Mus musculus: one gene and its partners. The protein of the gene in region 4 binds, or shares a complex with, the protein of the main gene of each other region. Links are inferred from orthologs where the notes say so. Each region holds a gene or a part of one and is shown on either strand. Other genes may lie near its edges.

Region 1 (4,737 bases), on a different chromosome or scaffold from region 4:
CAGAAGGCAGAGGCAGAGGCAGGGGGATCTCCATGAGTTCGAGGCCAGCATGGTCTACAGAGATAATTCAAGGACAGGCAAAGCTACACCAAGAATCCCTGCCTTGAAAAAACAAAAAACCAGCAGGGCAGTGGTGGCACACGCCTTTAATCCCAGCACTCGGGAGGCAGAGACAGGCGGATTTCTGAGTTCGAGGCCAGCCTGGTCTACAGAGTGAGTTCCAGGACAGCCAGGACTATACAGAGAAACCCTGTCTCGAAAAAAACAAAACACAAAGATCTATTCCACAGCCTGGTAAAGTACTTGGTCAAAAGCTATGACTCAGGAGCTCACAGGCACTATGGGGAAACCTACTAGTGTTCTTTTTGTTAAATGGAAATCTTGTCAAATTGCCTTCTAAATATTTATGTTTATATCCATAGATTAATGCCACTCTCAAGCCTGGTAAGAAAAGTTTCTCTTTGTAGTGGCAGTGGTCAATGCAGACGCATACCTGGACAAAGTGCTAAGAATAAGTGCCCTTTATCAACCCTGTCCAGGCTCAGGGGACAGAAAGAATGTAAGAGCCAGAGGACGGGGAGGAGCGTGGCGAATGAAATGCTGTCTTCTGGACATTATATGGCTGTTGCCTGCATGAATTCAGCAACTGTGGTTCCCTGCACAAGATCAAGTCAGTTAACATTCCAGCATGGGTGATATGTTGCCCATCACTTGGGGTGTGTTAGTGTGTAGCACTAACTGGACTTAGTGAGGTATTAAAATAAGAATTTTAAAAAGGACATGAAAATGGAAGAGGGATGTGTGAGTAGGTGTTCCCCAGAGGGAGCACAGGAAGGTTGGGGGTGAATATGATCAGATACACTGTACACATGTAATTGCAAAGGAATAAAAAAATTAAAAAGATAAGACTCACATATCTAAGGTTACACACACTTAACATGGGCTTCTGGAACAGTCCACGAAATCTAAAAGGAGTGGGGCAGAGACACCCAAGCTATTTAAGCCCAGTGTCAAGTTTGAGTGATTTCTGCTCAACCACGAATTTGTGTATAGGAGGCAGAAAGAATGTCATCACCACAACGAAACCACACAAACTTATCTTTGGCCCTAACAGCAAAATCTGTTAGCGGAACAAAGTCCCATTGGATCCTTGATCCTTTCAGCAAACAGCCTATTACTACCTGGGTCCCCATTGCTGCAGGGGCTCACTTTTGAGGCCTGATCTGGCGAGGAACTGTCATGAATTTCAGTGATCCTCACCAAAACATCCCAAGCAACAGGCAATGCCCCAGTTAAAGTGGCTTCAAGGGCTCCGAGAAAGATTTGCTGAAGGTCAGACGACTGAGAACCTGCCTTTGGTATATTAGAAGAGACAGCCAAAGGTGACAGGGCTGGGGAGGCGAAACAGCAGGTCAGAGGGCCGAGGCTGGAGTTCAAGCCAGGTCACCAGCCCCGAGGGCCCGAGAAGAAACTCAGGCCCGAACTTTCAGACTCTGAACACGTTTCCTACTCGGAAGGTTTTTTGGGGGCCCCCTCCCTGCGCACCCCACTCAGGACCCCGCTCAGGACTCGCGTCTCCTGGTTCCCGGACAGTCGTTACCGCGGTCTAGGGCAGCAAGGGCTCTGCTCCACCACCGCGAGCCTCCCGGGCGCCGCCTACCTGCCGCGGGGCAGTCAGGGTCCCATCCATGTCGAAGAGACAGAGAGTGGCCATTTCTCCAGTCAGAAACCTCGACCGCACCAGGAACTCTACCCGGAACTCTACCCGGAACTTCCGGGTCCGCTCCGAGCCCTGGAGTTCCAAGGCACCATGGGAAGATTCCCTAATGGTTCACAGAACACCGGTGGCGGTTACAAAATTTGAACTACAGTTCCCAAGCCATAGTAATTTTTTTTTTTTTTTTTGAATTAGCGCATGCGGGTTTTTAACCGCCCGCGCATGCGCCCTTCAACTTTCCGGTGACAAGTACAGCGTGCGTCCTGTAGCAGGCGGCGGGCTCATGGTAGGAATGTCAGGAGGGAACGCGCTCCCCGTCCCCGGTCGGGTCTAGGACTGGCAGGCAGGACGCCTGGGCTGACCATTCGGGAAACCGGCCAGTGGAAGGCCAGAGTCTATTAGCTTGGGCTGTTTTCCTGCTTTGTCCCGGGCCCTTGGGTCACGTGGACGGTCTGCGTCGCTGCCACTTCGTACGTACACACCCGGTTCAGAGCTTAAGAGCCGTGTCTCCCTCAGCGTATTCTGAGGTTTTCTTTGGAAGGGTGAAGAAGGATGCACAGCTAGTGTCCTCTTGACTCCAAAGCCCAGAATCTGCTCACTCCAGAGAACCACAGGCAGTGTGTTGAGGGCCTCCGTGCCTCACGTCTCTGCTTCCTTCCCAGACAGGTTAATGATACAAAGAGGTTCTCTGGCCGCGCAAGGCACTCGGAGAACTGCAGAGGTCCTGTGATAAGTACCCCACGGCTTTGTTGTGTGGGGTTCTGACACCGATTGATTTACCCCTTAAGGAAGGGCGGTCCTTCAAGTCCGCTGTTGCCCGGTCTCTAGTGAATAGCTGAAACGACAGGTTTTCTATGTTCATTTAGACCTGCCTAGGAGGAAGGGCCCGTCCGAGCTCCAGACTGCCCGTGTTTCCCTGTACTTGGGGCTGTGAGGTGGGGTGGGGGAGGGCTTAGGTTCTTAAAAATGTTTTTGTTGTTTTGTTTTAATCTTGTGTGTTTAGTTTGTGTGCATATGCTTGTGCTTTGGCATACGGGGCTCCAGGACGTACTGCGTGAGTAATTTCTCTTCCTTCACCGTGTTGGCCTGAGGGATCAAATTCAAGTTACCCGGTTTGGTACCAAGCACCTGTACTAGATGGGCTATCTCACTAACTGCGACTAGGGTTTTGTTTGTTTAGTTGTAAAAATGGGAGAAGGTACCTATTTAGAATAGAATTCCACCAAAAAAAAAAAAAAATTAAGTGTCTGGCTTTATCACTTTCCTCTGGAAGTCATGGTGACTTTCCAGGAGCGGTTGAAGCCCTTCTGGGAGATGCTTTGTCTTGTTCATTGTGTGATTAGCATGGGTGACTTCTGAAATGAACCTCTCTCTTCCAGGCTTTCCTCCTTCGAGTCGTGCCAAGGTTGCAGGGGCCCACTGCATGGAGGAGGCCTCTACAGGGACTATGGTGCTGCTCTGGGCAGGGGGATTCCAAAAGGTGGGTGGGGAGCAGGTCTCCCCACTCACGGGAGAAGTCACCAGGCACCGAGACCGAAACATTCCATACAATCTACCGGTTCCGAGCCATCCGAGCAATTGGGTTCCTCTCGCGGCTGAAGTTGGCCCAGACAGCTGTGACTGTGGTGGCCCTGCCCCCGGGCTTCTATTGCTACTCACAAGGCCTCATGACCCTCAGTTCACTGTGCCTTCTGGGTGGGGTCGCCAGCTTTGCCCTGGCCATGCTCTGTTGGATGAGCCACTTCTTCCGGAGACTGGTGGGCATCCTGTATGTGAACGAGTCGGGCACCCTGCTCCGAGTGGCCCACCTGACCTTCTGGGGCTGGCGGCAGGACACGTACTGTGCCGTGTCAGACATGATACCCCTGTCAGAATCCCAGGAACGGGTTCAGGATGTGTTTGTACGCATCCAGCAGTACAGTGGCAAGCAGACCTTCTACCTCACCTTACGCTATGGCCGAATCCTGGACAGGGAACGGTTCGCACAAGTGTTCGGAACTCTGGCCACACTGAAGAACAGCAAGTAGGCCTCTCATAGCCCTCGTTACACTTGGATTTTAGACAGAAGGCCTAGGACATGGATGAGACAAAGCTAATACCAGGGACTGGGCTGGTGCTCACTTTGTAGAATGCTTGTTTAGTGTGCAGGATGTGAAGCCCTGGGTTCAGACCCTAGCACTGCATAGAACAAGGCATGGCTATGCCTGCCTGTACTCAGAACTGGTGACACAGGCAGGTGGAGAAAAAGTTCAAGGTTGTTTTGGCCCAAAAAGGAAGCTTTAGGAAAAAGCCCTTAGTGGAACATAGGACATCCCATCATATAGTGGCGAGAAGTTTCTGTGAAGAGGCAGTTGTTGGAGGAGTGCTATGCCAAGGTCACTAAGGCAGACCGCTGCTGTAAAGCTGGGAGGCAGGAGGGTTGGCAGAGGAGCACAGGATGTGGGGTCTGGGGACTTGGGTTCTGCTGAGCCTTAGCTCCTTGACAAGTTTCTGAACCTTGAATTGCATTGTGAGATGGAAAACCCTTCTCATGGGAACGGGTATGGCTAGGACTTTGTGACAGAGCTCTTGCCTAGCATGTATAAGGTCCTAAGTTCCATCCCCAGCACCACAGAACAGGCAAAACCAGTGAATACTGAGTGCTGTATAAGGTACACAGCCCAGAGCTTACAACATAGAGCAAGGCTTCTAGGGTGCCAATGGGGCCCAGCACTTACTCATGCTCACCAGCTGGACGGCCATGGCTAAAGCCCAGAGTGAACTTATTTTTTCCCATCAGCAAGTCACTGTACACCAACAGAGGTAGGGACAGCACCCCTGAGACTACATTGATCCCTAGGAGGTCCGGGGGTGCTCACACTTGAGAGCTTTGTAGTGTCATCGCAGCAGAGGGACTGTGTCCAAGCAAAAATTCATCATCTAAAGGACAGTGCATATGCTTTTCATAATAACAGCAAACACTTGCTTATTAGGTAATTGTACCTGCATTAAAAGGAAAGCAGTCGTGATTTTTGTAATTT
Region 2 (3,955 bases), on a different chromosome or scaffold from region 4:
GGCTGAGGCTAGGGCACAGTTGAGTAGTGTGCTGGTCTGGCACATACGGTGGAAGGCTTGACTCCCAGCACCATATAAAAGGGGCACTGTTGCACATGCCTGAGATCCCAGCACTTGGAACAGTAGGCAAAAACCTGCCAAGGCCAGACATGGCTACCCAGCACAGCAAATTCAAGGGCAGCCTAGGCTACATGAGACCATGTAAAGTGTGTGTGTTGGGGAAAGAGGGCTGGAGAAAGAAATAGCTCAGCAATTAGGAGTATGCACTGCACCACTTTTAACTCGAATTCCAGGGCATCCACCACCCTTTTCTGGCCTCCTTGGGCACCAGAATTCACATACCCACTAACACATAGCATACATATAATTTTTCTAAAAAAGATTTATTATATTTATGTGAGTACATTGTACCTATCTCCAGACACACAAGAATAGGACATCAGATCCCATTATGGATGGTTGTGAACCACCATGTGAGTGCTAGGATTTGAACTCAGGACCTTTGGAAGAGCAGTCAGTGCTCTTAACTGCTGAGCCATCTCTCCAGCCATAGCATACATATAATTAAAAATAAATCATAAAAACAAAAAAACCAAAACCAAACCAACCAACCAACAACAAAAAACCCCAGAAACGGGCTGGTGAGATGGCTCAGTGGGTAAGAGCACCCGACTGTTCTTCAGAAGGTCCAAAGTTCAAATCCCAGCAACCACATGGTGGCTCACAACCATCTGTAACAAGATCTGACGCCCTCTTCTGGAGCGTCTGAAGACAGCTACAGTGTACTTACATATAATAAATAAATAAATCTTAAAAAAAAAAAAAAAAAAAAAAAAAGAATTCTTTAAAAAAAAAAAAAAAAAAACCCAGAACCATACGGAGTGAAGGATGAGCTTGAAGCCCTGTCTCCCCTCACTGCCTAGGAGCTGAGGTGACAGGGAAGCACCCGAGGTTTAGATACAGGGGATCAGCCTGGAGACATCCCAGGTAAGTCCTCCTCCAACTTTTCTACAGCCCAAGCCTAATAATTGGAAGAGGGAGGGGAGAGGGGAGGGGCAGGCGAAGGACTTGGGAGACTGAGAAAGGTGAGTGGAGAAGGATGCGAAGGAAGGCTGGGCCCACATTCCTCACCGTGTCGTTCCATCTGCTCCAGGACTGCGACCCCACATTCCTGCTGCCGTGGGTAGTGGACGAAGATGCGCTGGATAACGTTGCGGGGCCGGAAGACCTCCTTGGGGAAAACATCCAGCAGCAGGTTGTATACTGACAAGTCCCGCTCCACACCAAACTCTGGCATCTTGCGCAGTGCTAGGTAGATGAAGTCCACGTGGCCGCGCTTGCGCACATTGTGCGCCCCAAAGCTGCGCACTGCGTTCAGGAAGCTTGCCTTGTCCCGCTCCCTGTTTCCTGATGGCTTGAACGAGTCTTCATGCATTGCTGGAACCTTGATGGGCTTCCTCTGGGGCTCCGGGGGTCGAGGAACCAACCACGGCTCATCCTTGTGTGTAGCTGCACTACAGTGAAGGCCTCGTAGAGCCTGGAGGGACACCTGGGAGAAAGGATGGTGCCTGCTTTTTGTTTTCTGTTTCTTGGCAGAGGTACCCTGGACATCATGGAGGACCTTTTAGGCGCTTTGATACTGTTACTGCTAACCGTAGCTTAGATATCATGATATAGTACATTAAAGTACAATGCCACATGGTAGTACACACCTGAAATCCCAACCCCAAGGAAGCTAAGGCAGGAGAATTGAGAGCTCAATACTTGCTTGAGCCACACATACATGTTCTAAGGCCATATGAGATTACATATGGTGCATACACACGCATACACACACGCGAAGAAAACATCAAGAAGCATTGCCAGGACCACATTGTTGTGGTTTGAATGAGAATTTTCCCCACAGACCTGTCAAACTCTGCTTACAGCATTCACTTGCTTGGTTAGACCAAATTTCCAAAGTCTTCCACCTTCCCAAAATAACACAGTCAGGGTCTTTATAGCAACCACCCTATTTGTGGACACCAACTTCTGTACTAGTGCTTCCCTGTTACTGTGATGAAGTACCATGAGCTAATCTGGCAGTGTTGTATGGTACTGGCTTTGAAGGCAGGAAGGAAGCAAGAATCCTGAGAAGGTAGGAGGTCCCAGGATACCACTGCATCAATCTGTGAGAGTGAAGCTTGGGCTGCTGAGCAGACCTCAAGATGTTGGTGATGTCAGAGCTATGAGATGTCTGCCAAGGACAGCCGCACAGGGACTGGAGCCAGTCTGGGGTGGGGTATGGCTTAGGGCAGCTGAGCTAGAGGAGTGGGGCTGTCTGAGCACATTGGAGCTACAGGGCTTCCTGTTTGCACTGCTGGGTTTTCAGTCTTGTTTGGGGTTCAGTATTTCTTCATTTTGGCTTCATTCCTCCCTTTTGGAATGGAAGGATGGAATGTGTCATTCCCTGATGGAAGAGTGTGATTTACTTCTACGTAGAATGTCACAGTTGCGAGATTGCACGAGTCTCAGAATAGACTTTGGACTTTTAAATGGTATTGACACTGTGACAGACCATAGGAACATTAGAAATTGGATGAAATGCATTTTGCATCATGATAGTGTCAGGAGTCTATGTGGCCAGGAGAGAGGCAGATTGTCATGGTCTGAGTGAGAAATGTCCCTCAAAGGCTCTCGTATTTGAATACTTGGCCCAGCTGGTGGCAGTGCACAGGGAGGGTACAGAACCTTCAGGTTTATACCGGCTTCTCATTTACAGGTTGTTCTCCTTCCTACATGCTTGAGATGTGATCTCCAGTTTCTACTCTGGCCACAAACAGCCATAAGGGACTCTACCCTTGGAACTGTAAACCAAGACACTCTTTCTAATGTAAATTGCTTTTGGCCATGGTCATAGTACTTTAGTACTGCGATGGCAAGCTAACACAGGACCACAACTAGGACAGGCAGGACAAGGGCCACCTTCAGTTTCTGTGGCCTGATCCTGAGAGGGTGAGAGTAAAGCCAGGCCGTTCCCTCTCCACCCACAAATGCCCAGCCTGTGGTTACCTGAGCAAAGGGAGTTCCTGAAAGGGCAGGCCTGCAGAGGCCTCCCCAGCCCCTAGAGAGGCTTCGCACCAGCAAGTTGACCTGCACCCAGCTCATGTCTCTGTAGATTCAACCACACCTAGTTGAGAGGGATTGAGACAGCATTAGCCTGCAGCATACCTTCCATGAGACAGGGCGTCACTATGACAAAGAGCACAGTTCAGACAGAAGAGCCTAGTCCACCAAGCTCCAAGGGTTACTTCTGTCTGATTTTGTTATTTTCAAAAATAGAATATCATATTGCCCAGGTAGCCAAGGGTGGCCTTAAGCTCCTGATCCTCCTGCCTCTGTTTCCCCAGTGCTGAGACTACAGGTGTGAGCTATCATGCTTGGGAATCTTTCCACTATATTTACTGATTTAGTGTGCATGTGTGTGTGTGTGTGAGCGTGCACATGTGTGCATGCACATGCATGTATGCGTGTGCGTGCCCTTGTGTGGAGGTCTGAGGATAGCTTGGAGAACTGGTTCTCTCTTCCATGTGGGTCTCAGCATAGAGCTTGGTTTCTAGGCTTCAGCAAGCACCTTCATACAGTAATCATTCCACTGCCTCATACCTGGGAGTTTTTCTTCTTCATTTTTTTTTAAAGATCTATTTATTATTATATGTAAGTACACTGTAGCTATCTTCAGACTCTCCAGAAGAGGAAGTCAGATCTCGTTATGGATGGTTATGAGCCACCATGTGGTTGCTGAGGTTTGAACTCAGGACCTTCAGAAGAGCACTCAGTGTTCTTACCCACTGAGCCATCTCTCCAGCCTCTTCATTTTTTTTTTTTTTTTGAAAGACTTGCCTGTTTATTTTGTGTGTATACTCAGGTTCACATGCTACAATACTTTTGTGCAGGCCAGAGGACAACTTTTCAG
Region 3 (3,955 bases), on a different chromosome or scaffold from region 4:
TCATGCTGTTCCGATGCAGCAGCTGTGGCTCAGTGCGGTGTCATGACTTTCTCCAGGCTACAGCCAGCACACTCACGGCAGGCAAGCCTGTATACAGAGGTGGCCCTGGTAACTACTGCCAGGTGCCTGTGACAGTGGCTCTGCTGGCCCCTGCCTCTTTCCTCACCCTGTATTCTGACCCAATACAGTGAACACTGGGAGCCACACAGGAACACAGCTCCAGCTGCAAGCTGTGCTACCTCATCCCGAGTCACATGGGTTCTCCTCACCTCCAGAGAGCCCAACTAAAGAAACCGAGGGAAGCCTCAGGCTTAATTTTAAACACAGACAGCTTCCAAGTGTTAGTGAAGATGTAGAACTTCATACACTATAACCACTATGGAAAAAGTTCTTCAAGAAAGTGCCATTCTATTACAGGCTAGCAATTCTATTACTACATTTACACTCAAAGGGCTTGAGAACATATTTCTCAAACAAAAATTTGAGGATGAAAGTTCACAACTCTGTTACTGACACTAGCCCCAAAGTAACAATTTAGCTTAATGAGTACGTGGTTTACCCACACAGGAGAACATCATCTACCCATTCAAAAGAATGAAATACTGAGTGACAGAGATGTGTTTAAGTTAAATGTCATGTAAACTATTTCTCCATAACATATAAAGATGGGGCTGGAAAGATGGCTCAGCGGTTACGGCCACCTGCGCTCTTACAGAGCACTTAGGCTGTTCCTCGCTCCCACGGAGGCTCACGAACAGCCTGTAACTCCAGCTCCAGAGGATCAGAAGCCTTCTCTGGCCTCTGCGGGTACCAGGCACACATGCAATTCACACACATAAATTGAGACACCTATGCATATACGTAAAGTAGAGAGAAATGAATCTGGCTGATTAGGGTGGCATATGCGCTTAATCCCAGGCTTGGGGCGTGAGGGGCAGGTGAGTCCTTGGCCAGTGCGGTCTACATAGTGAGTGCCAGGCTCGTCAGAGCTACTTGGTGAGACTCTATTCTGCCCAGAAAAAATGAATCTTTAAAATATAAAGCTGACTATTAGGGCAGAGACTTACGTTAAGGGTTCTTGAAACCTGAACTTCTCAAGCCCACTAGCCTGTTTTTCACACTTGCTAGAGAGAGGAACCCCATTCCTCGATCAAGATGAAGGAGATCTCCAAGGGGAATAAAGACTCCTCATCCTAACCAGACTCCCTCCTCTAAGAGCAAGCCATTTTTTCAGCCTTTGTGTTGCTGAATTCCTATGCCCAAGAGCTACACAAGGCCACAGGCTAGCCTGCTAGGAAAAAGGTCAGGGCAGAACATGAGACTCTTGTGAAACAGCACAGCACTTACATGGGACTGCCTGCAACTTACCTTAAAGCCCCCTCCAACTTCTCCAAGGACATTTTCCACAGGCACTCTGGTATTTTCAAAATGGACCTCACATGCTAAAACAACAGGAATTGAAAGAGCGTGACAAACAAATTCAAACTGCTCTGCTCTTGACCACAGGCCCGTGGCTGACTGGCTAATGCACTCATTTAGCATCCTAAAGAACAGTGAAGATAGACCACGTTCCTGCCACCACAGACACGAGGACATGTCAGCATGGTCAGTACTATGATGAAATATCAGCTCAGTACAGAGAAGGATGGAGCTGAAGGGGGCTGCCATCTTTTGAAAGTCCATGACAGACTCTTCTAAGGTAACATGTAACAGTAGCTGAAAGGAACAAAATAGCCAAAAAACCAGGAAAGCAAGGGAGAGCACCAGCAGTGCCTCAGCCCTTAGAATAAATGGGATTCTTATTAACAGAGTCACACTCATGTTCCATAGAGCAGCATCTTCCCAGCTTAGGGTAGGGAGTTAACAGACGGAATGTAGACGACCCGACGTGTACAGACACACAACCTAACCCAATTCACCAACATCCTTCAGACTGAAGCAGGCATCCCCAAACCATAAGAAATAAGATTCCACTGCTGCAAGCTAAATCCTACTGTGTCTGACTGACAGGGACACTGTAGCCAGAGACCACCAGCAATCCTGTAAGAAAGGCTGACTCTATTGGTCAGTGTGCGTTAAACAATGAGAAAGCAAGGTGCCTAGGACTAGGCAGGGGCTGAACAGTTCCCTTTGCACAGCATTCCCTCTAGCACTGCCTGGATATTCTAATGCACAAACAATGCAAGTCCTGGCATGCTGAACCAGAGACACTCAAGATGAGGAAGGTTAGGGTTCAAGAGACACTAGGGCCAAGTGTGATACCTGTCGAGGTGGAATGCCATGAAACATGATCTGTCTGCTGGTCATATTTAGGGGTTGGGTATGTGGGCTAGAGGACCCAGTCACTCTTTCAAAGTGTACTGGGTATGGGGCACACCTGCCTTCCTCTTTGACTTCATCTCATATTCATGAGCCATCTTTTGGGGTCTGCATGCTGCTGGGCCTCCATCCTCCCAGTTGTCAGCAGGTAAATGACGCTGCTGAACGAGCTGCAGAAACGCAGGCTGCACAGCTGTGGGCCTGACATGCCACTTTATACCAAGAGACTAGTTAGTATAAGAACACTATGGCCGGCCAGATGGGTGAGCTTAGGAAACAAACAGGACACCAGCTTCCACTGAAGCAAGGGCTGACCAAGGGATGAAAGGTGGATCTGGACAGTAGGAAGAAAGGAAAAGGATTCTAGGAAAGAAAGATGTGGTGGCCTGCCACAGGATGTGTGCCCAAGACAGCTGCAGTTGTGTGACATGCATGCCTGCCCCTACTGAGGCTGGGATTTCAGCTGCCCTCACTCACCTAGGGTCAACAGTGCCAACTGTACCAAGCAGCACAGGTTGTGGCTGCACTCTTAATTTGATGTTGCTAATTGCTAAACTAAACCCATGAGCAATGAGGTGCCCTTTCACCTTCGTAGGTCACAGGGACAGGGCCTGTCTTTCAAGTCTCTGCCGCACTCATACAGAAGCACGTCTGCCACACTTACTGTTGGAGCCTCGAATGCCTAATTTATCTTCAGGTTTCCCATTAGTGATTCCGCCGAAGTCTCTTTCTACTATGAATGCGGTCATTTTGTCTGTTTTCGAACCATCAGAATCGACCACCTCGGTTTTTGCAAACACAGTAAAAATATTGGCCAGTCCTCCATTGGTGATCCAAACCTGAAGAAAAACAACGATCCTTGGAGACCCCTCAGCTCTATCCAACACTAAGTTTCAGGCCGCCAGACACACAGACTTCATACACTGTACTTATCAACTGAACAAGTGAAATGGGGGATGAGGAAAAAGAAAGGGTGCTCAAAAATCACAATGGATGGGAATTCATTTACTTTTTGATTCAAGCAAAACAAAGTGATCAAGGGCAGAGGGTAGGCGGTGAGCAGGGAAAGCTGAAGGCTAACTAGATAAGGAGCTATTACTATCCTCTGTCCCATTTGCTAATGGTGCTCTATCTTTAAGCAATCCTTGATTAAATCTCAGATAGCACACAGAGGTGGTGAAGACAACAGAAACACGACCAGCCGTGAGCCATGCAAGTGCACTGCACTATACTTTGCCTCTTTGAAATCTTGTGGACTAGAGATTGAAAATAAACACACAGAGGCAGCTGTGTGCAGAATCGAGGAGACTGCGGATAAGACCACCTTGCTCCAATACTGCCTTTGCCACTTGAGGGACTTGGGCTAGCCACTCCGCTCTGCCTCAGGCTGTTCTGAGAAAGAAGTGCCACACACCGTGGGTGACGTGCAGATCTCTTGGTGTCTGGTGTGCAGAAGGAAGACACAGAGGCGGGAAAGACTGAGAGGGCAAGAAGGCATGGCTGTACCTTGGAGCCATTGAGTATGAAGTACTTCTTATCTTCACTTAACGTAGCTCTGGTCTGGATGGACGCAGCATCACTCCCACTGCAAAGATGGAAAGACAGGATTGAGGGAAAGCAATACTGAAGAAGGCTT
Region 4 (4,645 bases):
GGCACAAACCAATTTTAGGACGGTTGACTTATTAATTTATACATGTTCGACATGGTTCGTAATAAAGAGCATCAATTTTTAGGAAAAAGTTTAAACTTCCCCTTCAAAAACACTTTTAAAAACGTCTTACTCTAGTCTTTTCAGGGGTGTGTGAGTTTGGACAGTTTTCTGGGGGCAAAAGAGAGATTCAAAGGCCCCCTTCTATTTACTGGTTCTGTTTCTCGCCCCTCAGTAAAACACTATCCAGCTTGTCACTTTCCTATTTTTCTTCTGTGGTCTCCAAGCCCCCAAGGCTTGATCCTTAATGCCCCTCAGATCCTGATCCTCCTGTGTATTAACTGAGAGGATTGAAAAGAAGGAAGGCAATCCCTTGGCATGGAGACATTAAAGTGACAGTGCTATTCAATGGGCACTTGATGCAGGATGATTTGGCGAAGCAGACTTCTTCACACTGGAGTCATTCACATCATGCCATCTCTTCGCAAACAAGCAGCTTCCTATCCGGCGAAGAAAAACACTGAGGCTGCTGGAAAGGAGAAACCAAACCTTCCCCAAAAGGTGTTTTCAGAGACGCTGTAGTAGTATTAGGCATGCAATCACACACTATGCAAATAGTCCGCGATTTCCTAAATGAGAGTGCAGCTGTTTGGCTTCCACATCCACCCTTTCTCAGTCTCTCTCCAATCTACCCACCTTCCTTTTGCAGAAAAGACATTTCTCTGCCACCGCTGGCCACCCCTGCCCACACCCCGATCTTATACAGAAGAGCACCGAAATGTCCTGCACCCTCCAAGCGATGAAGTGTTTCCTCGGGCAAGAGAAACAGCAGCACTAGAAATTATATAACTCTCGAATTTGGCTTGCCTAAGACATGGAGACTGGAGGGTCGGGGGTTGCGGGTCTGGCAGACGCTGCTGGGCATTTCACGTGCACGGAAGCGCGCCTGGCCTCCTCGCAGCACCATCCACCCCTAAAACACTGGCCGACCAGGGCTCTTCGGGGGAGCAGGGAAAAGGGATATTTCTAACTGAACCCTTTCCAAGCGGGGCTTGAGGGTGGACTATGGGGACTGAAGACTGTAGAGAGCAGGCTAGCCCGTGCTGCTGTGGCCGCGCCGGGGAGACGGGCTGGAGGCTCTGAGGAGGAACCTTAGAAACCACAGCCTTAACACACCGACCGGGCCGAAGGAACTACCAGGGCTCGGTTACCCCAGCCGCCCTGAGAAGAAGGCGCGCAGCAACAGGCCTGCGCCCGAACCGCCCCTGGTTCCCTTCAGGTTGGCCAGGCTGACAATTTGGCAGAGGACAAGGCAAGGCTGGCTAGGGGCGGGCCCCTGACCCTGAGCCTTCCTCGGAGCCAATGAGAGATCGCACTTCTGCGACGCCACGCCCAACCTCCGCCCGGCTGGAGGGCGCGGCTTTTGACTGGGTGGGGGAGTACCGGACTAAAGGTACGAGCTGTCAGACAGCTGCAAGTCCCGCCCCAGGCGCTCCGGCCACGCCCTCCTGTCAGTCACGTGAGGCGCTAAGATGGCGGCGTCCCAGCGACCAAGTTGGTCCGAGTCGAAGGTTGCTGGTGTTGTGCAGGAGGGAAATAGGGAAGCACCCCAGGTAGGCGGAAATCTAGGGTGGTGTGGGTCGCCTCCTCGGAGATGATGCACGTGAAGGATTTGAGCAAATAGAACCGAACCCGACTTTATGTAGAGTGTAATCAAATCTCTAGTTCCGAACAGCGTAGACCTGAAGTCTACGCCGATTAAATGCAGCTTGTTTCTCTTTCTCGAGGACCTTTCTTCAATTACAAATACTTTATCGCCTTACCCCACCCGGCCCGACCTCCAGTTCTCTCATTCTGTTTAAGTCTCCTGCATTTTATTGATTTGATGTGTTCTGACTTAACGCAAGGTTATGATGGCTTCTTGAATGCATTCACTTTTTTGATTACCCGAGAACCTAATATCCACCACGGCTGGACAAATCATGTTGAATAAAATTCTGAAGGTCAAATAATACACTTAAAGATACAACACACACACACTTTGCAGGCCATACGCCCACACAAATGCACTTAACGTGTATAAGGATGGTGATCTAATCAGTTGAGTGACTTTGAACTTCCTTAACTCTCAGATTAAACGTTGGTTGTGGCAAAAATCTTCATTTTCAGTTCTTGCTGAAAGACTTCCTTGGAATCTGATGATGGAGCACTTGTCAGGCCTGAAGCCCAGGCGTCTATACCAACAGCACAAAAATAAGTTAAAACAAAACAAAACAAAAAACTCTGGGCAAGTTAATAATCTATATCTCCTTAATTAAGGAGAGTGTAGTGAAACCCTTGCAAATGCCAGATGCCAAAAATATTTGCTGTTGCTTTTGATTATTTCAATATTGACTGTCCTGCAGCCATAATTGTGGGTACCCTTTTCCCCAAAGCTGTCTTAAAGGCCTGGAAATTTTCTGTGGGTGGTGAAGAGGGCTGTTCAGGGAATTGGATGAGAACAGAACAAAAATTTCTCTACGTTTTTTTGATTAGCCATGATGCTATTAATATCTGCCTTCATCGTACACTAGATGGATTGGTTAGAGAATCCTCCTTAGAAAATACTATTTCTTCTTCCATTTTTCCATTTGGATAGCAGAAGGAGGGGGGAGCAAAAGATGTAAGTCTAGTCCCCCCCAAAAAAATATAATTTGTAAAGTATTTTATGCCTGCTCTGCCCACCCCCCTTCTCAGCTATCTTAAAGAACTGACTTAAATGCTGTGTTGTATTAAGGCAGAAATACTGGTCTTTTGATCAATTGTATACCACCTTAAGAAGATCAAGGAACCCATTCTTTGTGTGTGTTGATTTCCTGGAGTCAGGCTCCATTTTTTTTTTCATTAATTTTAGGCTTATTATATGCTCATCACTTATAAATGTTAGCATGTCATCTGTAATGAACCTTTGACTTTATAACTTCTCATGGATTAATCTAGAAAATGTAGAGCAAAAAATAAAAAGCACTGAACTTTGAATCAGTAGACATCTCACTGATGAAATAAGTAAATATTTAAAACCAGAATTTTGGATTTGTAGGAAGTGTCCATATATCTTTGTTTGAATGAAATGGAATACTCGTAAGATACATAAAATGTCATAGTACCAAAGGATTTAACAAGTGTTTCCAGAGACCCAAAAGTCTTATGTATAGCCAGAAACTCAAAAAGGAATCTGGAATGGATTTTCTAATCTCTTGGTGAAACTCTTATGGTTCTTAATGTGGGCAACTATTGGCTTATCACATGGGACACAGAGACCTTACAAACCCTGAGTTCATTCCCTTTGTCCAGGCTTCACAGTATAACCCATAGCTATTTCTGACAAAGACCCTGCCTGCTTTCTACCCTAGGCCCTACTAGAAAACTGAATTGCAACATAAAGTCCAAGATAACTATGGTGCACTCCCTCTTCCCAGGCTGGAACAGTACCCAACTCTGACTTGTTGTTGTTGTTGTTGTTGTTGTTGTTTCTCCACTTTCTAAAGCACTTTCTGTTCTCTCCTACCTTCCCTTAGCCCCAAAATAATCTCCCAAACTGGCTTAGGCTTTCATGAGAGAAGACAAGTGTGGTGGTTTGAATAGGAATGGAACCCATAGACTTGCATGTTTGAATGCTTTGCTCATAGGGAGTAGCAATATTAGAAGGTGTGGTGTTGTTGGAGGAAGTTTGTCACTTGTGGGGGGGGGGGGGGGCTTTGAGGCTTCCTGTGCTCAAGCTAAACACACAGTCTCCTGCTGTCTTCAGATCAAGCCTGCCTACACCCCACCGTGTTTACTTACCTCCATGATGATAATGCCTCTGAAGCTGTCAGTCAGCACTAAACCTCTGAAACTGAAAGCCAGCCCCAATTAAATGTTTTTTTCTGTTAAGAGTTGCCTAGGTCGTGGTTTTGCTACACAGGAATAAAACCCTAAGACAAAGATAGATCTTTGTCAACATGCAGGTATTATTTCTGCTGTTACTTCAAGAGGATTAAAAAAGCTGGGCCTTCTACTCTTGGAATGAACAGAGGAAGCTATGCTGAACGAAAACAAAATCACTATCTCAGTAGCAAGACAAGCTTTCTGAAACTCAGTTTTCTAATCTATTGTCTTAATCATTGTTCTAATGCTGTGAAAAGACGCCATGACCACAGCAACTCTTATAATAGAGAACATTTAGTTCAAGACTTGCTCATAGCTTCACAGGGTTAGTCCATTATCATTTTAACAGCCCTGGAACTGAAACAGTATATCCTGATCCACAGGCAGCAGAGGCAGGCAGATTGACAGACAGACAGACAAAGAGACAGAGAAGCACCTGACCTGGCATAGGTTTTTGAATCTCAAAGGCCATGGATGCTCAGTGAAATACTTCCTCAGACAAAGCCACAACTCCCAATCCTTCTAAATCCCCATATAATGCCAGTGCTCCTCCCTGATAACTAAGCATCCAAATATATGAGCCTATGGGGGGGCCATTCTTCCTCAAACCACCACATATGTAAGCACAGAAATAGTCATTTTCCCAATTTTTATGTAACTCAAAAACAAAACAAAACAAAACAGAAAACACCCCATCTGTTAACTGTCAAGAGTCTAGTAACTGTTGATTGAATTGGTTTTC

The links.
Region 1: Tmem126b (region 4) and Tmem186 share a complex: the UniProt entries of both Homo sapiens proteins name them as parts of the mitochondrial complex. The link is inferred for Mus musculus from reciprocal best matches to the Homo sapiens genes TMEM126B and TMEM186.
Region 2: Tmem126b (region 4) and Ecsit share a complex: the UniProt entries of both Homo sapiens proteins name them as parts of the mitochondrial complex. The link is inferred for Mus musculus from reciprocal best matches to the Homo sapiens genes TMEM126B and ECSIT.
Region 3: Tmem126b (region 4) and Acad9 share a complex: the UniProt entries of both Homo sapiens proteins name them as parts of the mitochondrial complex. The link is inferred for Mus musculus from reciprocal best matches to the Homo sapiens genes TMEM126B and ACAD9.

What each region holds. Positions count from the first base shown.
Region 1 is NC_000082.6:8,634,752-8,639,488, reverse strand, and holds the start of Tmem186 (transmembrane protein 186), read left to right. Parts: upstream 1-1,777; 5' UTR 1,778-2,000; coding exon 2,001-2,003; exon of another isoform or gene 2,004-2,187; intron 2,188-3,096; coding exon 3,097-3,744; 3' UTR 3,745-4,737. Other genes in the region: Pmm2 (phosphomannomutase 2), read right to left, coding at 1,661-1,714. UniProt on the Homo sapiens protein: As part of the MCIA complex, required for efficient assembly of the mitochondrial complex I.
Region 2 is NC_000075.6:22,075,097-22,079,051, forward strand, and holds part of Ecsit (evolutionarily conserved signaling intermediate in Toll pathway, mitochondrial precursor), read right to left. Parts: intron 3,170-3,955; 5' UTR 3,148-3,169; coding exon 3,052-3,147; intron 1,550-3,051; coding exon 1,132-1,549; intron 988-1,131; exon of another isoform or gene 924-987; intron 1-923.
Region 3 is NC_000069.6:36,075,925-36,079,879, reverse strand, and holds part of Acad9 (complex I assembly factor ACAD9, mitochondrial), read right to left. Parts: intron 3,905-3,955; coding exon 3,826-3,904; intron 3,159-3,825; coding exon 2,984-3,158; intron 1,443-2,983; coding exon 1,369-1,442; intron 1-1,368. UniProt on the Homo sapiens protein: As part of the MCIA complex, primarily participates in the assembly of the mitochondrial complex I and therefore plays a role in oxidative phosphorylation.
Region 4 is NC_000073.6:90,472,860-90,477,504, reverse strand, and holds the start of Tmem126b (complex I assembly factor TMEM126B, mitochondrial), read left to right. Parts: upstream 1-1,509; 5' UTR 1,510-1,529; coding exon 1,530-1,610; intron 1,611-4,645. Other genes in the region: Dlg2 (disks large homolog 2), read right to left, coding at 694-715. UniProt on the Homo sapiens protein: As part of the MCIA complex, involved in the assembly of the mitochondrial complex I. Participates in constructing the membrane arm of complex I.